4 linked regions of the Caenorhabditis elegans genome follow. The protein of the gene in region 1 binds, or shares a complex with, the protein of each later gene. Each region holds a gene or a part of one and is shown in the gene's direction. Other genes may lie near its edges. The genes, in order: pat-4, pat-3, pat-2 and unc-97.

Region 1 (7,722 bases):
GACGTCAGCACGTTGCTAAATCAGTTGAGAACACTCTGCGGCTCTTCTCTCGCATTTTTTGTAGAAGATCTACGTAGATCAAACCGAAATGGGACACTCCGACTCCCCCCGCTGGAATTGTCAGAAAATCAATAATTTTCTACGCAACCCTCCCGGTCCCCAAAATCCTTGGCATCATCATCATCAATGCTCAGTTTCCATCCGAGAATCGTGTTACAACATCCGTCCCTGCTTCTCTGCGTCTCCTATCTCTCTCCATATCTCTTTATCTCTAACTCACACGACTCCCACGGGAACCAAATCTCTGCGTCTCTCACTGCATTTCACACTCTCTCTCCCCCGTCTCTTCTCTTTCTCTCAAATGTTCTTGAATACCTTCTTCCGATGAGCTTCTCGCCCCCTCAAAACCAACTCAATTTTATGATATACTTTCTAGTGATATGATATTCCGTTATTTTTCTGCCACGTGGCAAAATTTTGGGATGTTAGGCCACGTTAGGCCCTTTCTTGGCTGTTTTGGGAAAAGCGTCTGAAAATGGTTTTTTGTCTGAAAAACGTCATTGAATTTTAGTGCTGCAATTGTGAAGTGGTAACTTTGTTAAGCTTCACAATTTTTCGTTATGCTCCGGGTTCAGGTATTTTGTAAACCCAGTCTTTGAGAAGAAAATTGCTAAAAAAACTTGGGTCCCGCCACGAAAACGCTAGGAATTTCAAGAGTTTTTACAGGAATTGATACATAACTTTTCAGTGCTGTAGAGGAAAAATTTACAGATCTTTTGGGCACAAAAATGTGCGATGGGGGCTTTGAAATAACGTGAAAATTTTTTTTGAATTACTTTTTTAATCAAAAAAGTCCTTTGGAATATTGGGGTTTTTTAAAGCTTTTTTAGCAAATTTATACTATTCTGAAAACCCTTAAACTGCTTAATTTAATGAAACTAGGTATAACTTTGTCGAACTATTTTCAGCCAAGTTACAGTAATTCTTCTGAAACTCGCTGCGGAGCTTCAGAGCAAAAATTACGATTTCCTCAAAATTTTTAAGAGAAAGTTACCATAAATTAATATTTTTCTGATGGCTCGGAAATTTTCCTATTCAAATTTTGAATTTTCAAGACCAGAAGCTCGTTTTCAGCCAAATTTTAGAGCTTTTTCAGGAGTTAGCTGTGAAAGGTAAAATTGGAAAATGTCCTAGAAGCGAATTTGCCGGTTTTTTGATAAAAATTTTCAGGCAAAATCCAGGCAAATTTGTACTTTTCTGAAAGCCCGAATTCTCATCTTTTCAAATTCTTAGCATTCAAGACCAGAAGCTCATTTCAAGCGAAGTTTCAGAGCTTTTTCTGAGCCAACCTCTAGACGACGGAATGGTCAACGAAAAGATATCCCACAATCGCTTGCCGTTTGTTCTCTGCGCGGGATACTACTCCCTCTCCACAATACATACATTTACAACAAATTTCGTCTTGTTCTCTGCGTCTCCTACATAGTCCTCTACTATCTCGCCTGGCCAGCGGGGGAACAATGTTGACCCCCCCCCCCCCATGCCGTCGCCTCAGCAAAATTCTACTGCTTTCTGTTGTACTTATTGCATTGTTTATTTGTCTATGTCTCTTATATCTAACTTTTTTGGCTTGAAATTATAGATTCCGGGCTTCATGGGGCCCGGGAAAAAGTTGGAAAAATTGAGAAAATTTGGAAATTTTTGGAGATTTTTATTGATTTTTTAATAGTTTTTTTCTTCAATTTTCACCGATTTTTTTTGTTGTAATTTTACATGTTCCTGCTCAATTTTTCTTGATTTTTTCAAATTTTACACTATTTCACACGTAAAACCTTATATTTCCAGTCAACAATGTCTTTGTCGACTCATTACCATGCGCACAAGCCAAATGTGCCCATTATAATGGAGGATGTGTTTGGATGGGTCCGCGAGGGTAACGCTTTTCAGGTGAGTTTTGTAAATATTTTTATGGGGTTAGGCTCGATGAGAGCTTTTGAAAAAGTATAATTTTGTATAGGTTTTTGAAAAAAAAAATTTGGAAAAAAATTGAAAATGTTTGGAAATTATTTTTTTTAATTCTAGAAAAATTCAAATTTTTTCGCTGAAAAGTGGGCGGAGCGTATATGAATTTATACTTTTTTGAAAGTTAATGTTTTTCCTCAATTAAAAAAATTTAAATTTAAATCCGAAATTCTGAGATTTTCTAAAAAAAAAATTCATTAAAAATTTTTTTTTTTTAAATTTAAATTCCTATTTAAAATGGCGGAGCTTATACAAATTTATACTTTTCTAAAAGTTAAAATTAAGCTGAATTTGAAAAAAATTGTTGCCAATTTGAAAAATCAAGTTTAAAGCTAGATTTTAAGCTTAAATCTGGAATTTCCGGTAATTTTTGTCCGATTTTTCTTTTCATGCTAACTTGATCAACTTTCACCGAAATTGTCCAATTTTTTTGCAGAGGATTTATCACAATCCTTACTATAGACTAAGACTACTATCAAAATTTCAGGTCCGCGTCTGGTTGGACGATCACGAGCACGATCTCAACGTCGGAGACGATCACGCCTTCTCACTGCTCCACTGGGCCGCGAAGGGCGGCCACGTGGCGATTGCAGAGATGCTCCTGTCACGTGGAGCACGTGTAAACTCTACGAATATGGGAGATGACACGTCATTGCATTTGGCGGCCGCCCATGGACACCGACAAATTGTGGTGAAGCTTTTGTCGAGAAAAGCCGATGTTAACGCTACCAACGAGCACGGAATGACTCCACTGCATTATGCTTGCTTTTGGGGATATGAACAAATTGCTGAGGTGATTTTATTGATAAATTCGAATAGAGCTTGTTTAGAGCTTCAAAATAAGTATAAACTCGATTGGGAAAATTTTTTGGGAAAATTGGAAAAAAATGATTTTTCAAAAAATTCAGAAAATTTTTTTTCCAAATTTTCGAATAAGTTCTTCTCGGAAAGTTTTAATTTCGCAATGAAAATGTATAGTTTAGGTGAAATTATTTTTATAATCAAATATAACTAGATTTGAGCTTTAATAAATGTATAAATTCATAAAGGATGCGCCCACTTTTGACCAAAAATTTTGAGCTTTTTTTTGCCGGAAAAAATTTCTGAAAAAAAAATCATTTTTTCAACACTTTATAACTTTGGAAGTTTTTTGGCTATTTTTTTTTATGTTTTCATACTTGCGTCCTAAATATTTTAAAATTTCAATTTATTATACCAAAAACACAAAAAGTCCCTATTTACAGTAGCCCCTGGGAGTTTTCGTGGCGGGACCCAAAAATTTATCGAAAATTTGTAGAATTTTCAAAACCCGGGCATGATTATACTTTTTTGAAAGCTCTTAACAAGCTGAATTTGAATTTGTTAATAATTACCTTGATTTCTTGCAAAATAACAACTTCAGGACCTAATCTCCTGCGGCGCCGCTGTCAACGTGTGCAACAAGAAGGGAATGACCCCACTGGACGTTTGCCAGCCAATGTGCAAAAACACTATTTTGGGTAAGTTTTTTGTGCATTTTAATCTGAAAATTGAATTTTTTTAGTCGGAAAACATATAGATAAGATTTTTAGAAGAAAAAATGCATTTTTTGAAAAAAAAAACATTTTTCAACATTTTTACAACTTTTCAAAAACTCATAACTTTTTAGTTTTCAAGCGATTCGATTTAATTTAACGTTAAAATAAGTCTAAAAGATCAAGCTTTTTGGTAAATTAACTTAAAAAATTGAAAAACATAAACTACAGTAACCCTATAAGTTTTCGTGGTGAGACCCAAAAATTCTGAAGTCTTCTGGGCAATGCTCATTTTGTGTGGAGCCTGGGCATGATTATACTTTTCAGAAAGCTCTTGGTGAGCAAAATTTAATTTTGATACTTAAAAATAATGTGTACAAAAATTTAATGTTTTTTTCAGCAAAGACTTTTGACTCGCAAAAAGTTTTTTTTTTGGGATGACTTTTTTCTAATAAATTTTTAAATTATCGATTTTTTCTAGAAATTGCTCAAGAACATGGACAATCTCCAAATGACCGTGTACCATTCAAGGATACCACATGGAAGGGTACAAAGTCCCGTACTCGGGACGCCACACTGTCCCGCTACACCGGAGTCGACGTCTCCTCGCTGAATTTGATCACTAAAGTGGGTTATAGATTTTTTCAGTGGAAAATAACTTAAAAATTCAAATTCAGCGTAAAAAATTAGTTTCAATCGTTGAAGGATGGGAATTTTCCGCGAATTTCGAAGTTTCTGAAAAAATTCGAAAAAAAAAATTTTTTAAGGAAAATTTTCAAACATTGAAAAAATCATAACTTTGACTGTTTTTGAGATTTTCAGCCGGTTTTAACCTCAAAATATGCACAAAAACTTGTTCTACGTCAATAAAATATTAAAATACTGTATTGACACAAAACAGCTTAACACTATGGATTTTCGCGGTGGGACTCAAAAACTCGTCGAAAATTGGAACCCGCTACGTAAACTTCCAGAATTCACTTACCGTAGTGTATATTATTATTTAATATAAATAATACTGTTTTTCAATATTTTATACGTGTTTTATGTCAAAAATCTGCAAAAAATCTTAAAAATTGGCAAAGTTATTAAGATTTGAAATGTTTGAAAAAAAAACTTCATTTTCGAAATAAAAATTTTTTTTGACCTGAGTAAATGTATACTTTTCTGAAAGTCTAGATCAAGATGAACTTGATAAGCTACCTCAAACTTTAAAAATCCCAAAAATTTCCAGCTTAACCCCCACTCTGTTACAGATCGCTGAATCACACTCCGGAGAACTGTGGCGTGGAAAATGGCAGGGCAACGATATTGTGGCGCGAATTTTGAATGTTCAAGAAGTGACCGCCCGTATCTCACGTGACTTCCAGACCGAGTTTCCGGCTCTTCGTATTTTTGCTCATCCGAATATTTGTGCGGTGCTCGCCGCGGCTAACCAGCCACCGAACTTGGTGATCATCTCGCAGTACATGCCATTTGGAAGCCTGTATAACGTGCTCCACGAGCAAAGTTGTGAGTTTTGAAGGTTTTCATTGAAAAGGGCGCAAAAATTAGTCCTAGAAAATGTTTTGAAAATTTTTTTTTTTGATTTCGAAAAAGTAGAAAAAAATTTTTTTTTGATAAATTTTTTTTTTTCAAAATTTGTACTTTTCCCAATTTTTGAGATTTTTTGTTAAAATACTGCGCACAGATAACTCAAAAAATTGTCTTTTTAGTAAAATTATCAATATCATATTAGATAACTTATCTACAGTAACCCAACAGTTTTCGTGGCGAGACCCAAAAATTCTCGAATTCATGCTAAAATGGCCGGAGCCTAGGCATGATTATACTTTTCTGAAAGCTCTTAACGAGATCTATTAGATTTTGACATTAATTTGTGAAAAATCGCTGAAATAATTTAATAAAATCAATAAAATATTGCAGCTGTCGTCATTGATCACGGGCAAGCCGTCAGATTCGCGTTGGACATTGCTAGAGGAATGAGCTACTTGCACAGTTTGGACCCTATGCTTTTGAGGTTAGTGTGGTTGAATGGAGCTTAAAAAGAGCTCCCAGAAAAGTATAAATTTTTATAGGCTCCGCCCATTTTTCTGGCGGGAAAATTTGAATTTTATGTTTTTAAAAAAATTTGGATTTTTTTTTCCAAATTTCAAAAGTTCATAACTTTTTTAGTTTTTGATACTTTCAAACGGTTTTTGGCTTAAAATGTGCCTGAAATAATGTTCTTCGAAAAGTAGCTACAACAAAAATTTTCAAAAATTGTTTTCAGGAATCCAAGAGTTTTTGGGGCACTACTCGAAAAAAAACTTAAAAAAAATTTTTTTTTTTTTTTTTTTTAATTTTTTAATTTTCCCCCCATTTTTTTACGTTTCTTAACTAATTTTAGAGTTTCAGATAATTTAAGCTATCATAAGCCTAAAGCCCAGTTTCCAGGTTCTACCTCTCCTCCAAACACGTTGTAGTCGACGAGGAGCTCACCGCCAAACTCTCAATGGCAGATACGAAATTCTCGTTCCAAGAGGTCGGAAAAGCCTATTCGCCTGCCTGGATGAGCCCAGAAGCCTTGTCACGGGCTCCAGAAGACTTGAATATTAGAGCTGCCGATATGTGGTCATTTGCTATATTGTTGTGGGAGCTGAACACTCGTGAGGTCCCATTCTCTGATCTACCGCCAATGGAATGCGGAATGAAGGTAAGGGAGGGTTTTTGGAGGGCTGAAAGTGTGAAAAATGATGTTAAAATCCTAAAATTAATCTATCAGTTAATTTCGGATGAAATTTTGGAAAAAAATTTTTTTTTGGCCCAAAAAAAATTGTTTTTCTATTATTTTTTTCAAAAGTGTTCATTCTTAAATTCAAACTCAGAAGCTCAAAACAGGCCGTGACAACATTTTTTAGCTCGTTTGGGCTCAATGTCGTAAGATTCGGTGTTTGCGTACTTCCGAGACTACAGTACCCCGAAAGCCCTGAAAATGGAATAGAAACGTCTAGTAACGACTGACCACGCTCAAAATTTTGCGAGAAATTCGAATTGAACCACAGTTTGTTGACATTTTGAGATAAAATCAAAATTTTTTTCTGAAATTTTGTCAAAAAATTCGAATTTCTTCGTATAATTTTGATCAAATATAATTTTTATCAAAAAATTTGAATTTCCCGTCACTTTCTACCTCAATAAACTCAAAAAACTCATTTTCCACCGCTTTTCTGCAAGTCGTCGTCAGATTCAGTGTTTGCGTACTTTTAGGGTTACAGTACCCCTTACACCTCCAAAATCAGCGTTTCCAGACCCAAATTTCACGCTGAATCCAAATTTATTAATTTCAGATCGCTCTGGAAGGTCTCCGAGTGCACATTCCCCCTGGAATCGCCCGTAATATGAACCGTTTGATGAACATTTGCATGAACGAGGACCCGGGACGTCGGCCAAACTTTGATCAAATCATTCCGATTTTAGAGAGAATGATATTATGATTTATCGATTTTGCTTTTCTAATGTTTTCAACAATTTTTTTAAAATTCAATTTATCAAAGCTTTACATCAAAAGTGCCTGCTCCTTGTCCAGCCCCATCGCATTTTCCGTCTATATATTAATTTTAAATGTTAAACTGTCAAAAAAAATTGCTCAATTTATGAAAAAATCAATAAAATCTTATGAAATGTAAGGATTACTGTACGCAAACACTCTTCGACAAAAAAGTTCGCTGCAGTAAGTTTCATGTATCCAAATAATCAGTTGCCAAAAATTTGCACGTGTAGCCTAGTGGCTAGTGACCTCGCCCGCCAATCACAGGGCCTGGGTTCGATCCCCGCAGTGGCAAATTTATTTTTTCCAGCTCGGTTTCACTGAAATTTTTAGTTTTTTCCATAAAAATCGATAATTCCTTTATTAATGCGTCATCCTATGTCACTGTCTACAACAAAAATACCCATAAAACACATAAAAATCAACAATTTTCGGCTCTAAGATGCCCAATTTCTCGTAGTATCAATGTAGTCGCCGTCCGGAGCCTCGTAGTTTCGAATGGGCGGAGTCAGTGAGGGTCCCTGTAAGAAATTTTAAAGGATTTTTCGGAATTTTTTAATTTTTAGAAAAAAAAATTTGGAAAATTCCAGGTTTTTTAAAAAAATTTTTTAACCAATTTTCGGAATTTTTCGCAAAATGTCAGTGAGTTTTCAGATT
Region 2 (7,503 bases), 3.8 Mb from region 1:
ATGCTCTTTTATTCCGGGCTAGTGCTATGATTAAACACACAAGGGCAATACGAACACAGAGAGACATAGAGACAGAGGATACTAGTATATGTATGCACCAGATGTCTTACTACTTGTCATCCCTTGGTTCCCTTCTTCGTTTTGTTCCTCCCAATTTCAATTTCAATTCAGTTTGGATTTTGAATTAGTTCCTATCAGATTGTTATCGATTTGATGGATTGGAGACGGGAGACGGTGGGCGTGGGAAATTTAGAACAAGAATGACTCAGACGCTATTATTTTCTACTCTTTTCGTTATTTAAGTGTTGAAATCGTCGTTTTTCACAATGTCTAAATTGTTATATCGTTGTATGATAACTTTTGACAGCCATTTTAAAATTAATTATACTTTGACATTTTAATAATTACTAGGTGCATTCATAAGCTGTAAGAGCAAGAATTATAGTTATCTTCAAAGTTTCACCTAAACTAGTTTACCAGGAACAGTTTTGATGTTCAGCAATGAGTTTAAACATTTTTGGAATAGCGGGAAGCTTAAAAATACCCAAAATAGTCAGAAATTTCATTAAACCACAAAAAAAAGAAGGAAAATGTCGATCTAGAATGTGAAATCCTTTTTTTTAGTTTCAGCTAATATCCCTGTTTGAATGTCTTCCAAAATGAGAATCCACTCCCACTTTTGAACCAAACTAACGATATTGAAACTATCGAAAAATCCCTTTCCTCACCACATCAAACCCCCTCCTGTGAATTTCGCAATTTCATCGGTCTCTGATGTCTCTAGAAGCTCCCGATTCTAACGCCTTTTCACCCATTTCCCTTTGGTTTTCTTCCCTTCGTCTTCTTTGTTTCTTCGACGATACAAGCAGGTGTAACTCTCGTTACACTTTGGTCCGAGCCCCTCTCCCGGCCAACATAGAGCACTCTATCGCCTACACTATCTCTTCGAAGAGCATTCTGCTGCTGGGTTGATGGCAGTTGTGAAGAGAGAGAAGGCGAGAGATGCTCCTGTCGAAGCACTTGGCAGATCCGCCCACGTTCCGAAAAGAGGTGATCGGTGGACGTAGTTGATACTTTTATCGATTTTTAAGGTTTGAAAAGTTATGTGCATAACTTCCAAAAATGTTAAACGGATGAAGTTTTATCCCGAAATCTCAAATTTCATACATTACACATGTGTGCCTGCAGATACCGAATTAAGTTATTGTTTCCCGAAAATACTGTACCCGGTCTCGACACGACCGATTTTTCTCAAATCCGAGTTGTCTGAACTCCAATATTCCTCGCTGCAAGTTTTTTTATATTTTCCCCCGAAAACTATGTAATTTTCTAACAAAAAGAACATGACTCCGTTATACTTCCCGCATTCACTCCGTTTGTTGAGTAAACAATAAATTTTCCTACTATGGTGACTAATATTTCAAGAAGTCATTTTCTTTCAAAATTTCCTATATATTTTTTATTGTATAACTTTTATATTATAACTTTTTCTTCACTGAAGAAATTATGAATTGGGGATGTGCCATTTTTAGTATGATATTCTTGATTTTTATATCAAAATATTTTTTTCAAAAAATCTAACTTTTTTGGAGAGCTTTAAAAATTTCAAAAGTTGTATGAAAGTTGCCACCTGTTGAAAGCAGTTTGATATCAGGTTTCTGTAGAGTTTCATCATCAATTTTTCTTATAAATACACCATTTTTTAATCTCACCGTTTTTTTTTCTAATTACTCCGTTCTCAATGTACTAAAAGCCAATTAATTAATTTTTCAGTTGAACCTACCCGGCATCAAATGCCACCTTCAACATCATTGCTGCTCCTCGCAGCACTTCTTCCATTCGCTTTACCAGCAAGCGATTGGAAGACTGGAGAAGTCACTGGAAAAGTCGTCGAAAAATCAGAATTCCCATGCTACAGTCTGTCACGTGACAATTACACATGCTCAGCGTGCATTCAATATCATGAATCTTGCGCGTGGTGTGGAGCACCGGTATGTTAAATGCTTGAGACCATGAATTTATTTTATTTAATAAAAAAAATTCCAGATGTTCGACGAGAAGAAGCCATATGCCCGTTGTGATAGCCGTGCCAAGCTCATGGAACATGGATGTCCAAACAGTTATATCGAGGATCCGGCCACAAAATTGGATATCACTGAAGACAGTAAACTCTCCGATCAAGGACAAGTTGAATCTGAGGAAGAAGCCGTTCAGATCAAACCACAGGAGATGTACGTCGAAATTCGGCCCAGTAAGTTTTTTATATGGTTTTCAAAGATAATTCGTTTAAAAACTCGATGAAAATAATCAATAAAATACAAAAAATTTTTTGGGGTTTCAGCAAAAAAAACGAAGATTTCAGGGTAATTTCGTAGTCTTAAATTTTCAGGAAAAATTTGCACTAATTAAAGAAATGTTTTTCATTGATTTTTCACAACAAAAACCGCTGAAAATCACATTTGAAAATTGTCTCAAAAACACTGAAAAAAAAATCGTACTGCATTTTTTTTGCGGAAAGTTAAAATATTTCCGGTTTTGGTTATTTTCAGCCTCTTTTTTATTTAATTTTTATCTTAAAAAGCTCCTGTAATATACAATTAAGTGAAGTAATTTATTATTATTATCATAATTCGTTGATTTACACATTTTAGGCTCGTTTGACTATTTTTGGATTTTAAGAGATTTTTGGGCTTAAAATATGCCTAAATCAACGAATTAATGATAAACTTCTAAAATTTGCAATTCAGGGTGATTATAAAATAAAAATTAATTAGTGACCGCTGCGACTCGAAAACTTGTAAAATCACAAGATTTTTCTCTAAATCCAGTTCTTCAATATCAACAACAATCTAAATGTTTTTTTTTCAGAATCCCGTGTTCGTTTCAATGTGACCTACCGTCAAGCCGTTGATTATCCAGTTGACTTGTACTATTTGATGGATCTCTCATATTCCATGAAGGATGACAAACAGAAACTGTCCGAACTCGGAGACTTGCTCGCCGAACGAATGAGAACTGTCACAAAGAATTTCCGATTAGGATTCGGTTCATTCATTGACAAGAAACTTATGCCATTCATCGATCCACGAATCGAAAAACAATTATCTCCGTGTCCAACACCATGTGCAGAACCATATGGATTCAAGCATCAAATGTCATTGACGACGAACACGGCAAAGTTCAAGGCTGAAGTTGATAAAGCTGAAATTTCTGGAAATTTGGATGCTCCGGAAGGAGGTTTCGATGCTGTTGTTCAGGCGTTGGCTTGTAATGTAAGTGGTTATTTGATTTAAAAGAAAAATTCAAAAAGAATCAAATCAACATTTTTGAGATATCGGGAAAGCTTAAAATCTAAAAATCAATATTTCAGAAAACCATTGGGTGGCGTGAACGTGCTCGTAAAATGATCGTTTTCTCAACTGACGCTGGATTCCATTTCGCTGGAGACGGAAGATTGGCAGGTGTCGTCGAACCAAATGATGGAACATGTCATTTAGATAGAGAAGGATATTATACTGAAACACTTAATCAAGATTATCCATCAATTGCACTTCTTCATCAAATGATCAAGGATCGTAAGGCAAATGTCATTTTTGCTGTTACAAAGAACAATCAGGATTTGTATACACAATTGTCGAATGCACTCCCAGATGTTTCATCGTCGGTTGGAGTTTTGGCTAATGATTCAAGAAATATTGTCGATTTGATTGAGAAGGAATATTTGAAAATTAGTGAAAAGATCATTATGGTTGATAATGCAAATGCTTCAGAAGGACTCAAGCTCACTTACAGATCTATGTGTTTGGAGTGAGTTTTTTGAATAATATTCAATTTAAATGAAAGTTGGGAACTTTTGAAAATTAAAAAAAAAACAAAAAAACGCTGTAGAAACAGATTGAGAAAGACCTCGATCATGTAGATTTACGCAGGCTTCGTGTACTCCACGAGAAGAAGCGTTTTTGGCTGAAATTCTGATTTTGGATTATTTTGTTACTTTTTTTGTATTTAACATTCAAAATTGGTAATATAATTTTTATTTATGGTATTTCAGGTGAAAATCTGTTAATTCGGTGTTGAAACCTTCAGATTCATCCGCTTTTACATAAAACAATATAAATAATTGTAAAATATCTACAATATTGCCCTCGCCGTGCAATTTTCAATATTCATTTTTCTCGAAATTAAAAAAAAAGTAATTTGAATCGAAAAATTGAGCTCTCTTAAATTCTCACGTTTCTAGACGAAAAAGTCTTCACATAAAATTGTTTTAAACTAAAAAAAAGCACAATTTTGGAGCGAAACTATTAAAATTATTACAATTTTATTCTAAAATTTGACCCTATAAATAACCGTAATTTTTCAGCGGAACCACACTGAAAGATACCAATGTTTGTGAGGGAATTCGTGTTGGAGATGAAGTTCAATTCGAAGTAACCCTTGAAAATACTCATTGTATCGATAAACGTGATTTTGTTCTCCGTATCGGACCATCTGGATTGGATGAGACACTTATCGTTAATGTTAAAGTTTTATGCGATTGTGATTGTGAACGTCAAGACAGAATTGTGACGAATTCGGCTGATTGTAACGGAGGAGATATGGTTTGTGGAGTTTGTCGATGCAAAGGAGGAAATGTTGGAAAATATTGTGAATGTAATAGACCTGGAATGAGTACTGCTGCGCTCAATGAAAAATGCAAAAGGTATGGTTTTTTTTAAAATTTAACATGAAAATTATGTGAGAAATAATTTTAAAAAATATATTGGCCGAGCAGTATTAAAAAAATTTTAATCGAAAAAAAAGCTATAAAACTTCTATGGCTGGAATACTAATCGAAAATTGATTGGAATAAAAATTAAGATCACAAAATTTTGAAATTCCTTGAAAATTTCCAAATAAATTGATTTTCTGTAGTTTTTTCTTTTTAAAAATTTCAACTGAATTTTCTCGGTTTTTTGGATAAAATTTGACGCCTTCGATGGAATCACAAGAAAAAACGAGAAAATCCATTTAAATTTGCCGGAAAAACTCCGAAAAAAAGGTCGTTGCCTAATCAGAAGTTTAAACTTTTGCTCGAAAATTTAGAAAATAATTTTTGCTTTCTTACATTTTTTAAAAAAATTCAGAGAAAATCAAAAAAATTGGAAAAAAAGTTAGAAAATTAACAAAAATTAAATTGTTTATCAAAAATGCTAAAAAATTTAAGCTATTTTTGTTTTCCGTTTTTTCTTTTTTAAAAATTCTAATGATCTAATTTCCAGAACTAACGAATCAGCAATCTGTGAGGGTCGTGGTGTGTGTAACTGTGGACGTTGTGAATGTAATCCACGTGCCAATCCAGAAGAACAAATCTCTGGAGAATTCTGTGAATGCGACAACTTCAATTGCCCACGACACGATCGTAAAATCTGTGCAGAACACGGTGAATGCAACTGTGGAAAGTGTATTTGTGCACCTGGATGGACTGGAAGAGCCTGTGAATGCCCAATTTCAACTGATTCATGCCTCTCTGCAAATGGAAAAATCTGTAATGGAAAGGGTGAATGTATTTGTGGAAGATGTCGATGCTTCGATTCGCCCGACGGAAATCGATATTCGGGAGCGAAATGCGAAATTTGTCCGACGTGTCCGACGAAATGTGTGGAATACAAGAATTGTGTAATGTGCCAGCAATGGCAGACAGGGCCACTTAATGAGACCGCCTGTGATCAGTGTGAATTCAAAGTTATTCCTGTTGAGGAATTACCCAGTAAGTTAAAAAAATATACTGATAAAGCAGAAAATCAATTTTTTAAATGTCAGAAACTTTTGAAAATTTTATTTCTGAAAAAAAAACACGTTTGATCGGAAAATTTAAAGAAAAAAAGATATTAAAATATTTTTTCGAAATATTGGAAAACTAAAACTTTTGATTTATCGAAAAATAGCTTGGAATTTTGCCCATTTTTCTTCTTTTTTTAAATGGAAATTTGATTTGATTTGTTAAAATATTACACTTTTTGTTAATTTTCTAAACGTTTAATCTTGATTTTCAGGAAAATAGAAACATTTTTTCTGAAAATAATGGATTTTGCCTTAAAATGTGTATAATACTTAAAACGTAAATATTGCAATTTTGCTAATTCTCTAAACCTTTTTTCTCGATTAAAAAACTTGAAATTTTGAAATTTTAAAATTTCCAGATCTCAACGAAACTACACCCTGCCAATTTGTGGATCCAGCTGATGATTGTACATTCTATTATCTCTACTATTACGATGAGGCCACAGATAATGCAACAGTCTGGGTCAGAAAACATAAAGATTGTCCTCCACCTGTCCCTGTGCTCGCAATTGTGCTCGGAGTCATTGCGGGTATCGTAATCCTCGGAATTCTTCTCTTGTTGCTCTGGAAATTGCTCACAGTACTTCATGATAGATCCGAATACGCTACTTTCAATAACGAAAGGCTTATGGCCAAATGGGATACGGTAAGTGACACGGAACAAAAAACATATAAATTTATCAAATTATCATTTTTCAGAACGAGAACCCAATCTACAAACAGGCCACGACAACATTTAAAAATCCAGTATACGCTGGAAAAGCCAACTAAATAGTTTTTATCCTTATATTTTAATAATTTTCCCAAATTTTCTAATATGAAAGCTCAATTTCTCCATCCAAACAACTCGAAACGAGTATTTAGCGATAAATTGTCACATTCTTCTTTGTTTTATTCAAAAAATCTCCATTTTTTTGTTTTTTTTTCCTTCATCAATTGTTCATCACACTGCTTTTACCCCATTCTAAATACGGATTTTTTTCTTCCTTCTCTATATATTGACTTGCTTTATATTCATCTTTCATTGCCTTTTGTCCCTCTTAACACCGACCAACAACTCACACACTTCTTGTACTATTTCCAATTTTCAATGGTGCTTTTATTTTTGAACTATCTTGTTCGAATTTTTCATGTAATATTAATTTTATATGAAAAAAATCTGAAAAATTAATTTTTTGTCTTTTTAATTTTTGGTTGAAACTGATATTAGCCATAACTATCTGAGAAGACATGTTAAATAATATTTTTAAATTATAAAAAGGAAAAAAAATTGCGCGTAAAGTGAGGAGCTTGGTGTTTGCATCCAAGTGCACAGAAAGCATTCAACTTGACGACAATTTTTTATTTCTTTTAATTTCTTTAAATTTTTTCGTTTAAAATTGGAATTCTTTTTATCCTATTTACCGTGTGGATTTTCAATTTTTCAGTTTAGAAGATTCCCAAAAGTTCGAAAAGTTTCAAGTATTTGACCCGAAGTGGTTTGACAACTGTTATTAAGCCTGATTAATTTATTTTTTGCATATCAACCGATTTAAAATTTAGTATTTACCACTTAAAAACGCTAGAGACTACAATAATCAAATATCTGACCCTCCTTCAAAGAATAAACAAGTTTTTTTTGACGTGAATTGTAGGATTGAAAAAAGAAAGATAGAGAAGTGACTAGACTTTTCTTAAATA
Region 3 (7,594 bases), 8.7 Mb from region 1:
AGTCACCAGTCAACCATATCTTGGATTCTACTGACAATTACTTCATGCCCACATCCCAATACTCTCTATTACATGAACTTTTCACCAATATATAAAATGTTGTTCGTATACTGATGGGCTTCAAGTAGGCGTGATTTTTAAAACACATACTACAAATATTGGAGAAAGTGCCGTATTTGTTCTATTAGTATTGGTGCAATACGTTTTTGACCACAATATTTATGTACTTGAATTAACTAGATTTCACTGTGAAAACTGAAACTTTAAAAACTTTAAAATCTGTGGCAACTTATTGTCGAATTTTGGCAGGAAGTTTCCCTGATATTCCAAGTAGGTTCAAAAATTGAATTCAATTATCAAATTTTGGTCTGGTCAGATTGAACGTCTACTATTATAATAATTTTGCAAGTTTTTCAAAATATTAGAAAATCTCTTTGGTGTTTCAAAAATAGTAACTGCATATCTACTTGATTCCAAACTAATTGCTTCTCGTGTCCCCAAATAAGTGGTGCCTCTTCCTCCGCCCCCTTCCATCCTCCCAATTTCATCCTCAATTCATGCTTCCATCAATGTCTACGTCTCTTCGTCTCTCACACTCTCTCACCATTAGACATATGTTTGATAACTATCCGGAAACTGAAGAAACTATGTGTCCCTTCCTCCCTTCTCTATTTCAAACGACTCTTGACTCATCGTATTTTTCGGAAATTCATGGGATAACTATGAGTCTCCAGATGCCAGTTTTGTTTCGGAATTTCCTTTTTGTACGTTTTTCACAAACTTCGAATTTCTGATTTTTAACTCGTAGTCCAGCCAATATTCTGAATATTTTGAGGGTTCTCCGGTAATTTTAAAGATTTTCGAATGAGTACAACTCAAAAGCTAGAGGTTCCAGCAAACAACTTTCAACAGTCAAAACATTTTGAAATAGTTCAATTGAGCATTTGAGAAAATATTGTTGTTGGCTCTCGCTCAATACACAACAAATATTGAGATTTATGCAAAATTCGAATTGCTCCTTACTTTGCTTCTTCATCAATCTTGCTCCACGTGTCACGGGTCATTTTGTTCCCCCGTTAATTTCCGTTCGCTCACTTCTCCTGTTCGTTCAATTCATTTCTTGATATGTTCATGACTCAATGTGAGTGTGTCAAATGCTCGTAGAGCTCCCTTCTCAATTATAAATGACTTGTCGTCTTCGGAGGGTCAGTTCTTTGTTTCGCAATCGCGTGTGCTCTGTTCAATTCCATTTTTCCTTCCTTCCGGTTTTTGGAAAAGACACCGATTAGGCTTCATTGATCCACATGTTAACTGAGAATTTGAAATTATCTCAGTGAAATTGGTCGCTACTTTGAATTTAATTCATTTAGACATGAAAAACGTTCCAAAATTAAAATTCAAGCAAAGTTCTTTATTTTCCCTTTCAAAAATATTTCTTGGAACTTTTGAATTTGAGATTTTGAAATTTTTTTTCTATTCAATCAACTTCTAAAATCGTTTCATCTTCCGTATACTCGTTGCAAACTTCTTTCTGATTGTTTTCAAAAAACCGAATTCCAAATTTCCAGTAGATGCGAGAGGGTAGTTTTCCGCGAAGGATCGGCTTGCTTCTAGGCTTACTGGGCCTTTTAGCCGGAGTTGCCACCTTCAACATCGACACAAAAAATGTAGTGGTTCATCACATGGCTGGTAACTACTTTGGATACTCACTCGATTTTTACCATGAGCAGAAGGGAATGCCTGTGTAAGTTATTGAATTAACTGAACAGATTTTACATTCAAAAATTTCAGCCTCGTTGTCGGTGCCCCTGAAGCTGAAAGCAATAACCCAAACCTGGCTGGAATCCGAAGACCTGGAGCAGTTTATGCTTGCTCCGTGAACCGGGCAACATGCCGAGAAGTCCACGTGGATAAAATGAAGGGAAACTTGAAGAAACTCAATGGATCACATCTTGTTCCAATTGAAGAAAAATCACATCAATTCTTTGGTGCAACTGTTCGATCAAATGATAAGCATGATAAAATTGTGGTAGGTTTATTCTGCGGAGTTTGAAAATTAAAAATTAAATTTCCAGGTGTGTGCTCCAAAATACACATATTTCTACTCAAAATTCGAAGTTATTGAGCCAGTTGGAACCTGTTTCTATGCTGAAAATGGATTTGATAATGCGGAGGAGTTTTCATCGTGCAAACAAGAACGTATGTTTTGGGGATACTTAATTGGTACTGCAGGGGTACTGTAGTTTTGGAAAAAGGAGTTCGAGAAAAGAAAGTTCTGGGAAGTTCTAGAAACTTCTGAAAATTTTGAGGAATTGCAGGAATATTTTAATAGTTTGAAAAGTTTCTGCAACCCTCAAGACACTGTTAAAAACGTCTTAAAATTTTGAGATTTTTTTGGAAAATTCTAGAAACTTCTAGAGGCTCCTGAAAAAAATCTGAAAATTGTTGAACCTTTTGGAATAGTTCAGAGTTCGAACAATTGGTAACTTTATAAAAAATTAGATGAAAAATTACAGCTGCTCGCCACGGTCGTCATCGTCTTGGATACGGTCAGTGCGGATTCTCGGCTGCAGTTCCAGGAAAGAAGAATCAAAATCGTGTTTTTATTGGAGCCCCCGGTGTGTGGTATTGGCAAGGAGCAATGTTCTCACAGAACATCAAAAATCAGACAGACCGCCCGAATACCGAGTACGGTAGCAAGGAATACGATCACGATATGATGGGATATTCTACAGCAACTGGAGATTTTGATGGAGATGGTATTGATGATATTGTTGCCGGAGTTCCACGTGGAAACGATTTGCACGGAAAATTGGTGTTATACACGTCGAAACTGAAGATGATGATCAATTTGACTGATGAGGTGTCAACTCAACATGGACAATATTGTGGAGGATCTGTTGCAGTTGCTGATGTAAATAAAGATGGGTAAGTGAGATTCACAAACACATAAAATTACAATTCTCTAAATATTCTCTGTATTAATTTCAGACGCGACGACATTATCATGGGCTGCCCATTCTACACAGATTACGGTAGCGTGAAAGACGCAAAAACACAAGAAAGAAAACCACAATACGATGTCGGAAAGGTCATTGTGATGCTTCAAACTGCTCCAGGAGTCTTTGGAAAACAGATTGCAGTTGTTGGAGATGATCAGTGGGGACGATTTGGACACGCAGTCGCAGCAGCTGGAGACTTGAATTTGGATGGTTATAATGGTAGGGATTTTGCTACTAAAAATGAACGAATTTGAATTTCTCACAGAAATTATTTTACGCGGAAATTCAAATTTAGTTTTCGTATTTTCACTTTTCTTTTTCTTAATTTAACAATTTCTTTAGACATAAAAAATCCTAGATTATCGGAAATTTGTGCGGCATTTTGAACTTTCAATCTCATTTGAACCGCTATGGAAATTTATTGCATTTTTTGTTGGAAATTTTAAATTACAAAATAGTGTTTTTCAGATGTAATTGTTGGTGCACCATATGCTGGAAAAAACAAACAAGGAGCTGTTTATGTGATCCACGGATCCAAAGATGGTGTTCGCGAACTACCAACTCAGAAGATCGAAGGAGCCAATATTGGTCATGGAAATATCAAATCATTTGGCTTCTCCCTTACTGGAAACGAAGATGTTGATGGAAATGGAATGCCAGACATTGCAGTTGGAGCATGGAAATCTGGAAATGCAGCTGTTTTACTCACAAAACCAGTTGTCACTGTCACGGGACAAACTGAACCAGAGAGTGCATTGATCAGTGTAGAAGATAAGAATTGCGATGTTGATGGAAAATTGGGAAAACAGGCATGCAAACATATTAATACATGTTTCAAATATGAAGGAAAAGGAGATACACCAAATGATTTGGAATTTGATCTTCGATTCAATCTTGATGATCATTCTCCTGAACCAAGAGCTTATTTCTTGCAAAAAGATGTGGTAGGTCACTTTTTTAAAACTAGATAAAAATTTTTAACACAATAATAATATTTCAGAAATCTGACAGAAGCATTAAAGTTGCACAAGGATCTAAAACAAGAGACCATCCATCTTCAATCGAACAACGTGTTCGTCTTGAGAAGGGACGACAAAAGTGTTTCAGACATCGATTCTTTGCTTCTTCCACAATGAAGTGAGTTTTCAGAGAAAATATTTTGATTTTCTTTCAAAGTTTTTCAACTCAAAATGACCACAACTTTTTAAATTTTTTTATCAGAAAAAATTGAGAAAATGTTTGCTCTGCTGTGAAAAAAAGTTCAAGGCTAATTTTTGAATGTAAAATAGTTCGTATGCTTTGCAAACCTTCAAATTAGAAAATAAAATGTTTTCTAAAAATCAAAAATAAAATAATTTCAGAGACAAGCTCTCCCCAATTCATTGGTCCGTCAACTACACATATGTTGAATCAAAAACCGGAAAACTTCGTGGTGATAAGCTTGAACCAGCAATTGACACAACTGTACCACTTTCATTCCAAAATAAGATTAATATTGCAAATAATTGTGGAAAAGATGATCTTTGTGTTCCTGATTTGAAGGTTACCGCTGTTGCGTAAGTTTTTTTAATTTTCAAAATGATCGATAAAAAGTGTTGAAAAAATACATTAAATATGCCATTTTTTCATTGAATATAAAAGAAAGGGAAACATTGAAAATCCTCATTACAGTAAGTTTGAAAAATTATTGAAAAAATGGGTTTGTCTCGAAATGTTTTAATCATTACTCTAATTTTAAAATTTTCAAAAAAATATAAGGAAATGAGCGAGAAAAATTGAATATAACACAAAATACAATGTAACCTAACTCGACAATTTTCAAAACATTTTTTATAATGAGACAAGTTCACAGCCATTTTTAAAATGTTTGCTTCAGGATTTTCCTGTCAAAATAATTCCACGAAGATTGTATGTTTCTTTTCTTCACGGAATCGGCGAAATTTTCAGTGAAATCATATCATTAAAATAATTATTCCTAAACCTATAAACCAAATGCCAGCAATTAAATTCTTTTAAACATATTTTTTCAGTGATCGTGAGAAATTCCTTTTGGGAACTCAAGACAATACAATGCTTATCAATGTAACAGTTCAAAATGGAGGAGAAGATTCATATGAGACAAAACTTTATTTCGATGTTCCACAAGGATTCGAATACGGTGGAATTGAAAGTGTTGGTGGAGATGGAAGCAAGTCTGCTCCAGCTTGTTCTCCAACTTCCGATGAACCAGATTCGGATGGAAAATGGACTTTTGCATGTGATCTCGGCAATCCACTTCCAGCTAACAAAGTAGTTAGTAGTGTTGTAAGAGTGACTGCTTCTTCTGATAAACCTCCACTTGCTCCAATCAGTATTAATGCTCATGTGAACAGTAGTAATGATGAAGAAGCTCATACTGTTGCTGATAATAAAGTCACATTCACTATTCCAGTTGATTTTAAGAATCAATTGAGTTTGAATGGTAGATCAAATCCCGAACAAGTCGATTTCTCAATGACGAACAAAACACGTGTAGATGCTTTCGATGACAATGAAATTGGTCCAGTTGTTTCACATCTTTATCAAATCAGTAATCGTGGTCCATCTGAGGTTGACTCAGCTACTTTGGATATCTTCTGGCCATCATTTTCCACTGAAGGAGGTCATCTTCTGTACATTATCACAGAACCAGTTGTTAATCCACCAAATAAAGGAAGATGTCGGGTCAAACAACTGCAAAATGTTAATCCATTGAATTTGAGGGTACGTTTGAATAATTTTTAAATTTCTAGACATTACTTTAAAGGTACACGCTGTTTTTCTGAGTGGGTCTTGCCACGATCTCATAGTCGTTGCAAATCCCCAATTTCTGTAGACACTGAATTTTATAACTCTGTACATTTAAAATTGCAGTGAAATACGGAAGGAACTATTTTGTTTTAGAAATAGAAGTAAGAAACTTTATCATTTTTAGGATAAAATTCAAATTTCTTGGGAAATTTTGAAGAATTGTTTTCGTCAGTTTCTGAAATGTTTAGAATCGGCGAGTTAAAAAAAAATATTGGAAACAATCGAATATGCTGAAATATCACAAAAAAAATTGATTTTCCGGTTCGGGCTGACAAACTTCACTTTTTTCAATTCAGAATCCTGAACATCTTATTTTATAAATGTTCACAAAAAATTACTGTCGCACATTAAAAACGAATTAAAATTTCAGATAACAAATGAGCATGTTCCAACTGAACCACCAGTTGCCAAGACACCAAATGAATATTCAAGAGAAGAAGATGATGAATCATATGAAGATGAAACAACAACTCAATCCCAATCAACACGTCATCAATCTACACAACATCAAACTCATCATCAATCTGGTCCAGTACATGTATACGAAAAAGACGAGGAGAAGATTCGTCAGAATACTGGAAATTGGCAATATGTTGAGGATAAAAAGAAGAAGGGAGATTATGAATATATTCCAGACGATCAGGAATATGATGGAGATGATTTTGAAGAGGAAGATGATGAAGATTTTGATAGAGCTGGAAGTAAGAGAGTTAAAAGAAATCCAACACCAAAGAAGAAGAAGAAGGGAGGAGAACACCGTGGTGAACCAAGAAGTGATAAGGCTAGATTCTCTGATCTTCGTGAAGCTGTTAAACTTTCGAAGGAAGCTGGAGGAGTTGTTGATTATAAGGGACCACTATCAAGAGCATCTGTTGATTGTAATTCATTGAGATGTACACATATTGAATGTGATATTTATGATCTTAAAGAAGACGAGTTTGTACTTGTGGAAATCTTCTCTAGATTATACACAAACACATTGGTTGATGAGAAAAATCCTGGAGGAGACATTTCATCGTTGGCTCTTGCTCGTGTCACATCTACTAAATACAATCTTCCACATAAGCCAACATTGATAACAGCAGTATCTACAAATATGAATGCAATTGCTTCTGAAGAAGGAAGAGATCTTCCTTGGTGGCTTTATCTTTTGGCTATTCTTATTGGACTTGCCATTTTGATTCTTCTTATTTTACTGCTCTGGAGGGTGAGTTTCAAATTTAATTTTCAAAAATACGATTTATTACATAACAACATAGATATTGGCTTGCAAGTTAAATTAAAGTTCTTTCGCCAACTTTCATGCTTACTTGTGACGCAGCAAAAATTATATCTTAATTTCCAATTTTGTGAAGCGGTTTCTCAAAGCCTCATTGATTTATTCGGATGGGCCTCGCCGCGAGAAAAGTTTATGGTTCAAACTCTGCCATTTTCGAAAGGTAAAAAATGATTGTCACAAAGATTAAGAAAAACTGAATTTAAAAGAAGTTGCCTACGACATTAAAGCTGTGCTCACACGCTTTCGAAAATTTCACAGCAACGTCCACGGCGAGCTTACGTCGGGGGTACTGTAGAATATAGGTAGATCAGAGCGACTACAGTATACAACCAATTTCGAAACAAATTTACAGTTTCCCTCAGAAAATAAATAATAATAATCTAATTTTCAGTGTGGTTTCTTCAAACGTAATCGTCCACCAACTGAGCATGCAGAACTCCGTGCCGACCGTCAACCAAATGCTCAATACGCTGATAGTCAATCC
Region 4 (4,242 bases), on another chromosome or scaffold:
TTCTCTGAAAATAAGATTTTTTTAGTTGGGAAAATAGGACATTTTTGAAAGATTTTTCATTTGATGTTTTAACTTTCGGATTAATTGTGAGCACTTTTTAAATTGTTCCAACTGAAATTAAAAATATTTTTAGACAAGCTAAAGATTTTTCGATATCACTGAGTTTCAATTAAAAAATTTTGAGAACATGCCACACTGGTTCATTTTGTAGAAACTCACTTTGAAACTTATAGATTTGTGTAATAAAATACTCAGTTTAGAATTTATACACTGCTCCGAAAAAAGTCGGTCCAAAAACCTCTGTTATCGGTTTACGATCTTCTAGAAAAAGCGGTGGTATTTCTCAACACTGCGCACAGCTGTTTGGCAGGTGGAGGCATTTCTACTGGCAGAGGACCTCATTCTATAATGTCATCATTTCAAAGTTAGTCATTGTTTTCAAGCTACAATTTCTGGATTTTTGTCATCCTGATATATGATACTAGCTCATGATCAAGGCCAGTCGTAAGAATATAAAAACACAAACGAAGGTCAGATACTGAACATTTATCTGCCAACATTTGCGGGGTTCGTACTTTTCAACCATGTCTTTTGATTTCTCATATCTAAACTGATGATCCTTTCTTATTCTCACAACTGTCTATAAACATGTGTTAGAAAAAGCTTGTTCCTGCCTGTTCCGAGTATCAACGAGCAGCAATACTTGGCTATTAATGTGACCCTACGCACGCAACCCGATTGTATGCGTCTCTTCGAATCGCGCACTCTTCCCGGAGTCGTTACGTCTGCGGCCGTAGTCTGTGACCCCCCGCTTGGCTGTCGGCCAACCCGCCGCGCGCGCATTGCCTCTCGCTTTCTTCCACTCTTTTTAGTTGTACATTCTGCGCACTTTCTTTTTGCCCAGTAAATGCCCATATCACTGTGTGAGGAAAGTTGATTTTCAACAACTATTATCATTTTTAAGGTGTTGTTTATAACTATTACTATGTTTAAATATAATTCAAAACTTTATAGTTTAGCCGTATAGAAGTTGTATTGAATTTTTGGTTTCATTTTTACAACTAGTTTTATTTTTAAATGCAAACACCACAAAAGAAGCATTGTTGCTTTCCTCCGTTGCATCTCAAAACATCTGGTGTAATACATGTATCACATTTTGAAGCGTGAAATGTGCCGCTTCACTGAATTTTGTTATGTAGAGTAGTACATAGAAAGTCAAAAAAAAATCGAAATAACTAGTTCGAATTTTTTCCCATTTAAACACACGATATCCCAACCGATGTTTCTGAAGAATCTTTTTTCTGTTCCCAATCAATACTGATCATCAACACATCGGATACACGTCTCCCTCTGTGAGTTAGTCAGGGAAGCTGAGGCATCCTGTTGAATCTGTTGTGCAGCAGCACTCACACACATACTTTTGTTGTTCACTTATATCTCTATCTCTTGGTTCGTTTTCATTCTTTACACAAAATGCAATGGCAAAAGCTTCCACGCCACCGCCTCCGAGTTCTTCTTACACATATGTCAACCCGTCGCATCCTATACCTTTGGCACATTTGCCTCTTCCTTGAGGATTTCTTCTTTTCTACTGTTTCACAGCCCCCTCGTATAATACCTCCAGTGTTTTTACGATTCTTAGAATATGGAAATTTCTGTGTTTATGCAAAAATTTACTTTGCATATAACAAAATGTAGATATGAAATTCTGACTTTTTGTGCTCTTTTCGATTAACCAACATACCTAACCTATACACACTATATGCTTTCTCCGGCTTTCCCTTGTTTGTACATATTTGTCTTCATATTACTCGCTCGCTTTCTTTTCTTCTTTCCTACCCCCACCTTTTTCCTTACAAACCCATGGTCGTTAAACCATCCTGTGTGCATAGTGGCCAACTTTCAGTGGTTCAATAATAGATGGTGTGTGGCGGAATGGATTCCGACCACAACCATATCAACGGGGATCTCGCCCATGGCTTCGAGAACATGGTGTGCGTCCGTTGTAATGATGGTTTTTCGATGCAAGATCAGATGGTGAACTCTTCCGGGCAAGTATGGCATTCGGAGTGTTTTGTGTAAGTTTTTATAAGTTAGAATTAAGAGAACTCAAAAATTGCAAAAAAATTTTTAGATGTGCTCAATGCTTTGAGCCATTCCCAGACGGCATCTACTTTGAGTATGAAGGACGAAAGTACTGCGAGCATGACTTCCATGTTCTGTTCTCACCATGTTGTGGAAAATGCAGTAAGTATCTTTGAGAAGACACGCAGAGCCATAAATGTTTTATATTCTAGACGAGTTCATCGTTGGACGAGTGATTAAAGCAATGAATGCCAGCTGGCATCCGGGATGTTTCTGTTGTGAGATTTGCAATAAACAGTTGGCCGATGTCGGATTTTTACGGAACGCTGGACGGTAAGTTGGAGAGCGTAAACGAAGCTCGAAAGAATTTCAATTTTCAGAGCTCTCTGTCGCGAATGTAACGAACGGGAAAAGGCAGCAGGTCATGGACGATATGTGTGCCACAAATGCCACGCAATGATTGATGATGGACAACACATCAAATTCCGTGGAGATTCATTCCATCCTTATCACTTTAAGTGCAAACGTTGCAAGTAAGAATTTATCTTGTTTTACAGTATGAGTTGAATTTAAAAAATTTTCAGCAATGAATTAACGACAGCTTCTCGTGAAGTAAACGGAGAGCTCTACTGTCTCAGATGCCACGATACCATGGGTATCCCAATTTGTGGAGCATGTCACAGGCCGATTGAAGAGCGTGTCATCGCGGCACTCGGCAAGCACTGGCACGTGGAGCACTTTGTCTGTTCCGTCTGTGAGAAGCCATTCTTGGGACATCGTCACTACGAGAGAAAGGGACTTCCATATTGCGAACAGCACTTCCACAAGGTACTTGAAATATGAACAAGCAAACATTAATAAGTTTGTTGCAGTTATTCGGAAATCTTTGTTTCAAATGCGGAGATCCATGTTGCGGGGAAGTATTCCAAGCTCTTCAGAAAACGTGGTGTGTCAAATGTTTCTCCTGCAGTTTTTGTGATAAGAAACTTGATCAGAAGTGAGTGCAAAACTATTCATATGAACTTGATGAAAACAAATTAATGTATGCATTGCAGAACGAAATTCTATGAATTCGATATGAAACCAACATGCAAACGATGTTACGATCGGTTCCCCACAGAATTGAAAAAGCGCATCTCAGAAAGCTTAAAGGACCGCGACGTTGAAAATCAAAGAAGATCGATGAGTCCTGGACCAAAATAATAAAAAAGAAAGAAATAAAGGAGTCCCCGTAATTCATCAATTTCCATTAAAGAAGTAATACTTTCCAAATGCCATTGCTCATTTCTCTTTCCCATTGTTTTTAATACCTTGGTGCTAAAAAAAAACATCGTGAAAATTGTTATCAATCCGTTTTGTCTTTTAAATGCCTTATATTTCAAAACTATTTTTCGGTCACACAAAAATGTCATTGTACTCATTTCTAGCTCCATAATTGTCCTTCCCCTTCCCTTTCCCAGCTACTTTTTGATTCAGAAGCCTTCTGAAAACAATCATAACTTTCGACCAAATTTTTTGTGTTCCTATCCGCAAAAACTTTGCATCTTTTCTCGGGTGTCATTATTGCATAACTTGATTTCTGAATTTTTGTACTATTTTTTTGTTCAGAAAAAAAATATTGACTGTATTGAAACAAAATCGTATTGTAATATTGAATCCTTTTTTTCGGCATCAACAATCAATTTGTAATCAGTGATCAACAGGAAGGTGAGTCCATAGCGCCCGGAGAGATATTTTTGGTTCAACTTGAAACGTGTTAAGTGAGAATTATACTTTCCAGTGTCAAAATGTTTGTGAAATTTCTAAAAATACGAATGAGCCAGTAGAAATGATCGTATTGCACTTGAAATTCTCTTGGGAATTTATTTGTTGAAGCTTCAAAATGTGAAAGAAAAATTGGGCTATTCCAACAAAAAACGACTTTCATCGTTTTTTTGCTCAGCAAACTCTGTTTGATCATTTTACATAAAGATGAAATAGAGTCGATGATTTTTTTTTAAATTCAAAATGACAAAAAAAATTCAGTTTCCAAGAAGTTAATTTCGTTAAAAAATAAATTTTCAATTATCGATTATTTGAAGAATTTCCAACAAAATTCTTCTTTTTTATCAATTTTTTTTTTGGTTTTTTTTTGTGGAAAAGTCTAAAATTTTGTAA

What was found.
Region 2: pat-4 (region 1) and pat-3 share a complex: the UniProt entries of both Caenorhabditis elegans proteins name them as parts of the integrin containing attachment complex.
Region 3: pat-4 (region 1) and pat-2 share a complex: the UniProt entries of both Caenorhabditis elegans proteins name them as parts of the integrin containing attachment complex.
Region 4: pat-4 (region 1) and unc-97 share a complex: the UniProt entries of both Caenorhabditis elegans proteins name them as parts of the integrin containing attachment complex.

The regions. Positions count from the first base shown.
Region 1 is NC_003281.10:88,933-96,654, reverse strand, and holds pat-4 (Integrin-linked protein kinase homolog pat-4), read left to right. Parts: upstream 1-1,845; 5' UTR 1,846-1,851; coding exon 1,852-1,947; intron 1,948-2,509; coding exon 2,510-2,815; intron 2,816-3,424; coding exon 3,425-3,521; intron 3,522-4,017; coding exon 4,018-4,163; intron 4,164-4,792; coding exon 4,793-5,048; intron 5,049-5,462; coding exon 5,463-5,556; intron 5,557-5,972; coding exon 5,973-6,231; intron 6,232-6,865; coding exon 6,866-7,012; 3' UTR 7,013-7,202; downstream 7,203-7,722. Other genes in the region: mrpl-40 (Large ribosomal subunit protein mL40), read right to left, coding at 7,503-7,586. UniProt on the Caenorhabditis elegans protein: Probable pseudokinase that acts as an adapter protein. Component of an integrin containing attachment complex, which is required for muscle development and maintenance.
Region 2 is NC_003281.10:3,908,420-3,915,922, reverse strand, and holds pat-3 (Integrin beta pat-3), read left to right. Parts: upstream 1-1,773; 5' UTR 1,774-1,793; coding exon 1,794-1,991; intron 1,992-2,046; coding exon 2,047-2,251; intron 2,252-2,868; coding exon 2,869-3,272; intron 3,273-3,370; coding exon 3,371-3,807; intron 3,808-4,363; coding exon 4,364-4,702; intron 4,703-5,261; coding exon 5,262-5,749; intron 5,750-6,182; coding exon 6,183-6,469; intron 6,470-6,522; coding exon 6,523-6,594; 3' UTR 6,595-6,992; downstream 6,993-7,503. UniProt on the Caenorhabditis elegans protein: Integrin alpha ina-1/beta pat-3 is a receptor for laminin. Integrin alpha pat-2/beta pat-3 recognizes the sequence R-G-D in its ligands. Plays a role in cell migration, morphogenesis and probably in cell-cell interactions.
Region 3 is NC_003281.10:8,817,331-8,824,924, forward strand, and holds the start of pat-2 (Integrin alpha pat-2), read left to right. Parts: upstream 1-1,568; 5' UTR 1,569-1,571; coding exon 1,572-1,744; intron 1,745-1,791; coding exon 1,792-2,029; intron 2,030-2,075; coding exon 2,076-2,199; intron 2,200-2,516; coding exon 2,517-2,928; intron 2,929-2,991; coding exon 2,992-3,221; intron 3,222-3,470; coding exon 3,471-3,946; intron 3,947-4,002; coding exon 4,003-4,139; intron 4,140-4,231; exon of another isoform or gene 4,232-4,323; intron 4,324-4,363; coding exon 4,364-4,558; intron 4,559-5,032; coding exon 5,033-5,744; intron 5,745-6,201; coding exon 6,202-7,038; intron 7,039-7,501; coding exon 7,502-7,594. UniProt on the Caenorhabditis elegans protein: Required for muscle development probably through the regulation of the actin-myosin cytoskeleton. Component of an integrin containing attachment complex, which is required for muscle maintenance.
Region 4 is NC_003284.9:5,591,227-5,595,468, forward strand, and holds unc-97 (LIM domain-containing protein unc-97), read left to right. Parts: upstream 1-1,906; 5' UTR 1,907-1,935; coding exon 1,936-2,078; intron 2,079-2,134; coding exon 2,135-2,247; intron 2,248-2,297; coding exon 2,298-2,418; intron 2,419-2,465; coding exon 2,466-2,618; intron 2,619-2,669; coding exon 2,670-2,913; intron 2,914-2,957; coding exon 2,958-3,082; intron 3,083-3,140; coding exon 3,141-3,288; 3' UTR 3,289-3,739; downstream 3,740-4,242. UniProt on the Caenorhabditis elegans protein: Component of an integrin containing attachment complex, which is required for muscle development and maintenance. Probably function in adherens junction.